Ovis aries: one gene and its partner. The protein of the gene in region 1 interacts with the protein of each later gene in a biochemical or structural test. Links are inferred from orthologs where the notes say so. Each region holds a gene or a part of one and is shown on either strand. Other genes may lie near its edges.

Region 1 (3,807 bases):
AGGGCCGAGGAGTCCACGGAAGCTTCCTGGCACGGCCCAGCCGCAAGAACCAGGGTGACTTCTCCCTCTCCGTCAGGTAGGTGGCCCACGGCTCCAGCCGGGGGTGGGGTGCCAGCCCTTGGCTGCTCGTTTCGCTTCCCCAGGCCCCTGGGTGTATCCACCCCAACCCTGGCCAGGGCCCCCACCCACCCCCTACCCTCACCCGACCTCCACTCTCCCTTCCACTGGCCTTACCACCACCGGGTGCCCTGCAGGGTCGGGGACCAGGTGACTCATATTCGAATCCAGAACTCTGGGGACTTCTACGATCTGTATGGAGGGGAGAAGTTCGCGACGCTGACGGAGCTGGTGGAGTACTACACGCAGCAGCAGGGTGTTCTACAGGACCGAGACGGCACCATCATCCACCTCAAGTACCCGCTGAACTGCTCAGACCCCACCAGTGAGAGGTGAGGGTCTTCACTCCCTGGCCCGCCCCACCAAGAAGTGGGCTGTCCTTCCTACCTTGGGCCTCTTCCCTCCGTGTGATCTGAGGGCCCCCTTTCCATCAACCCCTAGGAAGCAAGAGAAGGTTGCCTGGCCCTTCTCCAGGGTCCCTGTCCACCCGTGCTCCAGGCCTTACCAGTGCCAGAGAGGCCTCTCCTCGTGGCTGTCTCTCCCAAATGGCTGGCTCTGTTGTTAGAAAGCTCTTCTTGCTGGGACAGAATCTGACCTCTTGTAACTGTTCTCTCCCCAGCACGGATTCCTATGGTTGAGGAGGAGCGTAGGGGTCAGCATGTATGAGGACACATAGGCTCATCTCAGTGTCCCCTGATAATGGGTCTGCCCTCTGGGGTCGGCTAGTGCTGGACTAGTCCCTTGACCAGACCCACATCAATACTCTAAGCATTTCCCGCCCATCTTTCTTGTTTCAAAGATATGGTCCCCAGAACTGGGCTGGCTACTCCCCAGGTGGTCTCCCCAAAGTATGGGCAGACCCAAAGACTCTGCCTTTTATGGACGGGTTGGGGGGTGTCTCATTTTCCAGCTGTGTCTCCATGATAGCTCCTATAATTAGGGGAAGGGCAGCTGAACAACTCTGGGTTGTTATGGGGGCTTTTTTTGGCACACTCCTAGGGCCAAGCCAACTTGTCCTTGTCGAAATGATTCTGAACCTGGATTCTTTCAGCTTTCAGTCTTTCTGAGATGCATGCCTCCCATCTTGCATCCGTATTTTGTTCAAGTCACTGGTTGAGACTGAGAACTGGATGAGGCTGGGGTACAGGCCCCAGACCCACCCCTGGAGACCCTTTTTCCCATGAACATGCATCCAGGGTCCATTTCTGGTGAAGCCGCCTCCCCCAGGAGGGAAGCACTTAGATGCCCTTGCTCGTGTCTGTCCTTCCCTGGTGTTCACTGCCTCTCACCCTCTTCCTGCACCCCCCTGCCACATTCATGGGGATTTTCTGCCCAGATCCTTTTGGGCTCTTCATGACCTGGCCTCCTCCTTGTCCACAGCCAGGGTCCGGCCTACTGATTGCTGCCAAAGGATTGCTGCAGGGGTGGTTGAGGATGGAGCTGCAAGAGGGATGGAGCTGAGAGGACCCCCTGGGGCCTGGGGTCAGGGTTCAAATTGTGGCTGGAAGAGGTCAGGGTCAGAGGGACTCAAGACCAGGGCAGCTGACTTCAAGAGAGGCTTTTGGTTCCCCACACCAGGAGGTCTGGATTCACCCTTGACCCTGGGAGCCTGTGGGGAAGGCTCTTTCTCCCAGCCTCTGCTCTGGTTTGCTCTGGTTCTTGGCCTTGGCAGCTCCCCCTCCTCCTCTGGGGAGAATTTGCATTTGTCCCCTCAATGGCTAGCTCTTTGCCTGTGGTCAGCCTGACATTTGCATGGAGACTTCCTCATCCTGTGGGGCCTGGGGGAAGAGGGTTAGCCCCCTCCCCACTGCTTGGGGGCCCTGGCCTATCCCTGAGTGGTGGGATATGGTGGCCCAGGGGTCCTGCACTGGGCTGGGGACTCTGGAAGTCTCCGAGCTGTAGTCTCCTCCGGGCTGCAGTACGATGGGGTGGGACAGACTGGCCCCCTCCCTCCTTCCCCCCATTCCTGCGGTTGGAAAATGCCCCCCTTCTCCTGTCCCTGGGCTGAGGAAACCTCACAACCTCACTTCTCACTCTCTCCCCAGAAGGAGTTTTGTGTTTTTTCCATCACGTGGTTTCCTGTGGGGCTGGGCATTGCGGGGCTACAGTTTCCTCCTGGGAAGGGGGTGTGTTTTGGGGAAAGGTCCTAGTTCTGCTTTCTGCCCCTCTGAGCCCCTTGAGCCTCCCCCCCAACACCCAACCCCAGCAGCCCCTTCAGTGACATCACCTGGGGCACCCCAAAGCCCCCAAACCACTATTCACCCTGCGGGCTTGTCCACCTTCCCGACCCCAACCCCCAGGGGGACTTCTCCCCTCGCTTGTGACTTCCGTCTCTCCCAACCCCATTGCTGTCTGTGGTTTGGCCTCCATCTGCATTTCTGCTTCCCTTGCCTAGCCCTGTCTTTCATGGAGACCCTTCCTGGGTTTCTCCCCTCTGAACATTCTGGATGTGGCTGCCTTTCTGCCTGTGTCTTAAACTTGCGGAGGTGGGCTTGCTTAGAAGTCCTGAGGCTTGCCACTTATTAGCCAGGGCTTGGGCCAGTGTTCCACCACCCAGCCTCAGTCTCCTCATCTGCAGAATGGGTAGTACCTACCTCTCAGGTTTCTGTGAGGGTGACGGACCTACTCATAGTGGCGGATTTGAGAGCGTGTAGCACAGCTCAGTTCAGCACATGGCAGGGGCCCAAGTTCCCTGCCCCCTCCCTGAGCATCTGCCCAGCGCCCGCCCCCGGCCTCAGTCTCACCTCCCCGGATGCCGTCTTCCCTAGGTGGTACCATGGCCACATGTCTGGAGGGCAGGCAGAGACTTTGCTGCAGGCCAAGGGGGAGCCTTGGACATTCCTTGTGCGTGAGAGCCTCAGCCAGCCTGGAGATTTTGTGCTGTCCGTGCTCAGCGACCAGCCCAAGGCTGGCCCTGGCTCCCCGCTCAGAGTCACCCATATCAAAGTCATGTGTGAGGTAAGGCCTCTGGGCACAAGGGAGGCACCCCGCTGGGGGTCCCCTCTGTGCCCACAGCCTTGCCCGTGGGGAGGGGCAGCCTGGGCTTTGGTCTGAGGCTGGGGGATCCAGGCAGGGAGACTGAGGTGGCCTGACTTGGTGCCCCTCAGGGTGGACGCTACACAGTGGGGGGTTCGGAGACCTTCGACAGCCTCACTGACCTGGTGGAGCATTTCAAGAGGACGGGGATCGAGGAGGCCTCCGGCGCTTTCGTCTACCTGCGGCAGGTGAGGGGTGGGCCTGGCTGCCTCCTCCCATTCCCTGAGCCTCTGAGCTCTAGAAGCGGCTGACTTCTGGCCTCCCCCACCCCAGCCATACTACGCCACGAGGGTGAACGCGGCTGACATTGAGAACCGGGTCTTGGAACTGAACAAGAAGCAGGAGTCAGAAGAGACAGCCAAGGCCGGCTTCTGGGAGGAGTTTGAGGTTTGTGATGGGACCAGCAGGGTGAAGGGCTTGGGGTCCCAGACAGACCCTGCCCCCTCACTCCCCATCCTCATCTGCCCTATGACCTCTCCACCCACGGATGCCCTGCTCCCGGGCCTGAGGCTCCATTTCCCCGACTCCTCCCACAGAGTCTGCAGAAGCAGGAGGTGAAAAACTTGCACCAGCGGCTGGAAGGGCAGCGGCCAGAAAACAAGAGCAAGAACCGTTACAAGAACATCCTTCCGTGTGAGCACCCTGGGCAGCCTC
Region 2 (4,572 bases), on another chromosome or scaffold:
AAATGTGTTAGTCGTCAGCCATGTCTGACTCTTTGGGACTCCATGGACTGTAGCCTGCCCAGGCTCCTCTTGTCCATGGGATTCTCCAGGCAAGAATACTGGAGTGGGTTGCCATTTCTTTATCCAGGGGATCTTCCCAACCCAGTGATGGAACCCAGGTCTCCTGCATTGCAGGCAGATTCTTTACCATCTGAGCTACCAGGGAAGCCCTAATATACATAAACCAATAGCAAATTAATAAGGAAAAGACAATCAAAAAATGGTCAAATAATATGAATAGGTAATTCCCAGGAGAAGAAGTAGTGTTTAAAAAAAAAAAAAGAAACAGTGTTCCAGGGATGGCTTGGGTGGAGGAGGGGTTTAGACCCCTCAAAAACGCCAGCAATCTACACTTTGATCTGGACAATTAATATTTTCTCAGTCTTATGTAAGCTCAGATTCAAGATAAGACCTCACCTCTCTTTCCAGCCAGATTGCCATCCCTAAATGTCCTTTATATGGGCATGCTAGGGCTTCCATAGTCAACAAACATGAGAAAGAAGCACAGCTTTATGAGTGATGAGGCAACCGCGGACTCAAACAACATTCAGATATTATTTCTGTACTCATGAGACTGACACAAATTTAAAAAATTGATTGTATCCACTGCCAGAGAGAGGGTGAGAAACTCACACTCAACCCATGTCCGTGATCAGCGTTGGTGAACATGCACCAGTTCAGTGTGTTAGGAGGGCAACTTAGCATCAGCTGTAACAATTCAAACGGACATGGCCTTCGACCCAGCCATTTCACTTCTAGGATTTTATCCTACGTGAACTCTCACACGCTCATGTGTCCACAGAGGATGTTTACGGCAGTATTGTTTCTATAAGGAATAAAATGGAACAACCAATACGGGAATGATGGTTCGATGAATTATGACTAAGTCCTATTGTGAAATGCCATGCAACTGTTGAGAAGAAGGGAGCGAAACCTACAACTTCCTCTTAGAAAGATGTCTGGGACGTGTTAATTTTAAAAAGAACAGGCCACAGAAGAGTTTGTTTGCTTTGATATTGGAGCGAAAAGGACTGTTACTAGTGTTTGCTCCTGGACACAGAGATGGGAGAGGGACTGAGGGGATCTGTTTATAGCAGAACATTCACCATTTACAGTATAATAACAACAACGACCTGGGCTGGCATTTACTGATGGCTCCCCCATGCACTCGGCTCTGTGCTGAGGGACAGGGCTTGTCTCAGTCTTCACAACAGCACTCCCAGGGAGGTGCCTTTATTTCCCCCGCTTCACAGAGGATAGAAATTAAGCTTAAAGTGGTTTTCGTCATGCGCCCAGACTACCAGGTGGAAAAGGGTAGAAACAAGGTTAGGACCACAACAACCTGGCTCTATGATGATAAACTGTCTCCCAGGATATGTTTTTAGTGTCGCCTGAATTATTTTACAACGATAGTGTATTGATTTTCTAATTAAAAAACAACAGAAAAAGAAAGAACCGTTTCATTGTTTTTTTTTAAAAAACAATCTCAACATTTTGTTTCTTAGTTTCAGGAAAGATTCTCTGACTCCCTCCCTAATATCACTTCATTTTAAACAGTACAAAGTGGAAAAACTCTCCTCTTTGGCTGCTCAACAAAAAGCACAGAAAACCCTGCTCGCGACAGCGCATGACTGAAGCTGACGGTCTCACCGTTTCGGTGAAAGTGGCTTTAATACAACAGAGAAGTAAATGAAACTTACCATTTGGTTTTCTCAGTCTTTCACAATCCAGTGCAGCCTTTTGAACTGAAAGAGAGAAAAGGAACACAAGAAAACTATTTTTCCACATGACGTTTTGGTTTGGAGATTCAAGCTTCAAAATGGTAAGTGAGCCTCGGATGTGACAGAAAGAAAAATGCCCCAAAGAACAGCTTGTTTAAATAGCCCCACATTCTCTTGAATGAAATCGGGGAGGAGGGCAAAGGAGTCTTGATGGCCTCCCTGCCTCCCACCAGCGAATCACAGAGAGAACTTCCTCTTTTTCGACGAATTTAAAGAAATTGGAGTTGTGTGGACTAGCCTGATGTGGGATGACTGGTTGGTGTGACCCTGTGCTCCTCTGTGAGCACTTGTAGGCAGAGAGGGATATGGCAGGTTACTTCTAATTCAGGCTGGCAGGGAAGTGGACTGTGAGTAAAAGAAAAAATGTTGCTACTATGGGCTTCCCTGGTGGCTCATCGGTAAAGAACCCACCTGCCAATGCAGGAGACCCGGGTTTGATCTCTGGGTGGGAAAGATCGCCTGGAGAAGGAAATGGCAACCCACTACAGTATTCTTGCCTGGAAAATCCAGGGACAGAGTAGCCTGGCAGGCTATATAGTCCATGGGGGTCACAAAAGGATCGGACATTACTTAGCAACTAAACAACAACACTGTCTTTATGCAAACCTACGTGATCATCTCCTTTTGGATTCAGCCTGGGTCAGAAGGAAGTTAGTGGAAAGTTTGTTTTAGTCTTGGGGAGCAACCTTGACTGTCTAGAGAGAGACACAGAAACGTGGCAGCAGAAATGCCTGACTGTGTTAAACGCTGGCTTCTAGGCCCTGCTCCAGGCTTCCTGGGGATGAAACCTGGGACTCTGGATTTTCTCCAGGGCCCCAGCAGCCTCAGCGTGTCTAGATTACAGCCCCGAAGTGGCTTGTGATTCACTTGCACCCAATCCAGAATTCTCCTGACTCTGCCAAGTGGATGCATGTTCTGTTGTCATCAGCATGAAGTGGAGAGTGGGAAGGGGGTGAGGGGTTCCTGAGTGGTTGGGGCTGTGATTGGCCTGGGCCCCTTGGGTTACTGGTTCTTTTTTTCTTTTCTTATTTGTGTGTGTGTGTTTTTTTGTTTTTTTTTTTTTGGCTAAGCTGCGCAACTTGTGGGATCTTAGTTCCCTGAGCAGAGAACGAACCTGCATCCTCTGCAGTGCACGTGCAGAGTCCTAACCACTGGACCGCCAGGGAATTCCCAGGTTACTGGCTTTTGTTGCCTGAAGGGTTGACCCTGACGGTCTCTTCGTTCTCGTGGATAGGTGCCCTCTCCATGGGGAAGACACACCCCTGCCTGGGTGCAGGTTCTTCCGAAACATCACCCAATCACCAGTATTAACTCGCTCCAGGGGCTCCTTGCTTGGGCTCCCCAGGTTCCCAGCCTGTTGTGGTCAGTCGTGCCTAGCCCCACACCACTGGGGGTCTGAACAGAGCCCAGGGCTTGGCTGCCGTCACCCCCACTTCCTCCCTATCTGCTGCCACTGTCTGGAAGCAAATCATCTTAGTCCTCAGTTTGTAAAAGAAAAATGCAAAGTTAGTCCTCCGTTTGTAAAAGGACTTTATTTCCTTCCAACAGTAAAAGTTACTTCTTAGGCACCCACCCTTCCAACAAAGACAGCACTCAGTGACTTCATATGGCAATATTGGTGGCAATTTCTCTCACTAAAGGAGAGTGTGGAAAAGCACCCCACCAGTTTAATCTCTGGTGGCATAACTCTCAATGCGAGAATTTCTGCTAAGGGGAATCAGAGGTTTTGGTTTTGACGTTTCCCACCAGTGTCTTATCCATCCTGGCCTGAGAACTGTCATGCCCAGAAGGATGGGGGCTCTTTCAGAAAAGCTGACATGTCTGGGGCATTTCTGCATGTGGAACTTTCAGCTCGGGCAGGAAGCCTGCAGACCGCAGCAAAGACAGCAAAGGAAACTGGAGGAAGTTCTTCTTAGGGCTGTTAGTAAACGTTACTGGGAGTACCTTATCGAGGCCCCCCTCAAAGGATCATAGTTTATCAAAGATTACATAACAAATCAGATATAAAGTCTCAAGTGGAAAAAGAAAAAAGTTCATCCATGGACCTGACACGTTGCATAGAGCCCAAATCATGACGAAGCTGCACTATCATGGTCCACCGAAATTCATCATATCAATAAACTTGATAAAAATAAATATAACCCAGGGACTTCCCTGGTGTTCCAATGGTTAAGAATCTGCCTTGCAATGCAGGGGACGAGATTTCCATCTCTGATCTGGGAATTGAGATCCCACATCCTACGGGGCTACTAAGCCGATGCGTTGCAACTTCTGAGCTCGAGTGCCACAGTCAGAGAGGCTGAGTGCTGTAACTAAGACCTGACACAGCCAAATAGATAAGATTGTACTCATTAAAAAAATAAATATAGTCAAACAAACAGTAAAGTTAGGCTTCTCTGTTGTCTAAGAGCTTTATACTGATCATCTCATTTACTCCTTAAGAAACCTCTATGGAGAAGGCAATGGCACCCCACTCCAGTACTCTTGCCTGGAAAACCCCATGGATGGAGGAGCCTGGTGGGCTTCAGTCCATGGGGTCGTTGGGAGTCAGACATGACTGAGCGACTTCACTTTCACTTTTCACTTTCATGCATTGGAGAAGGAAATGGCAACCCACTCTGGTATTCTTGCCTGGAGAATCCCAGGGATGGGGGAGCCTGGTGGGCTGCCGTCTGTAGGGTCGCACAGAGTCGGACATGACTGAAGCGACTTAGCAGTAGTAGTAACAGTATGAAGTATGCCGAGGTATTAT

The links.
Region 2: the proteins of PTPN6 (region 1) and PECAM1 form a complex in vitro, tested with the Homo sapiens proteins (2 studies listed by BioGRID, with this or other methods). The link is inferred for Ovis aries from reciprocal best matches to the Homo sapiens genes PTPN6 and PECAM1.

What each region holds. Positions count from the first base shown.
Region 1 is NC_056056.1:209,350,633-209,354,439, reverse strand, and holds part of PTPN6 (tyrosine-protein phosphatase non-receptor type 6), read left to right. Parts: coding exon 1-76; intron 77-254; coding exon 255-449; intron 450-2,885; coding exon 2,886-3,075; intron 3,076-3,224; coding exon 3,225-3,341; intron 3,342-3,426; coding exon 3,427-3,540; intron 3,541-3,689; coding exon 3,690-3,786; intron 3,787-3,807. UniProt on the Homo sapiens protein: Tyrosine phosphatase enzyme that plays important roles in controlling immune signaling pathways and fundamental physiological processes such as hematopoiesis.
Region 2 is NC_056064.1:48,348,706-48,353,277, reverse strand, and holds the start of PECAM1 (platelet endothelial cell adhesion molecule), read left to right. Parts: upstream 1-1,710; 5' UTR 1,711-1,739; coding exon of another isoform or gene 1,740-1,827; 5' UTR 1,828-1,861; exon of another isoform or gene 1,862-1,940; intron 1,941-4,572. Other genes in the region: MILR1 (allergin-1), read right to left, coding at 1,740-1,827. UniProt on the Homo sapiens protein: Cell adhesion molecule which is required for leukocyte transendothelial migration (TEM) under most inflammatory conditions.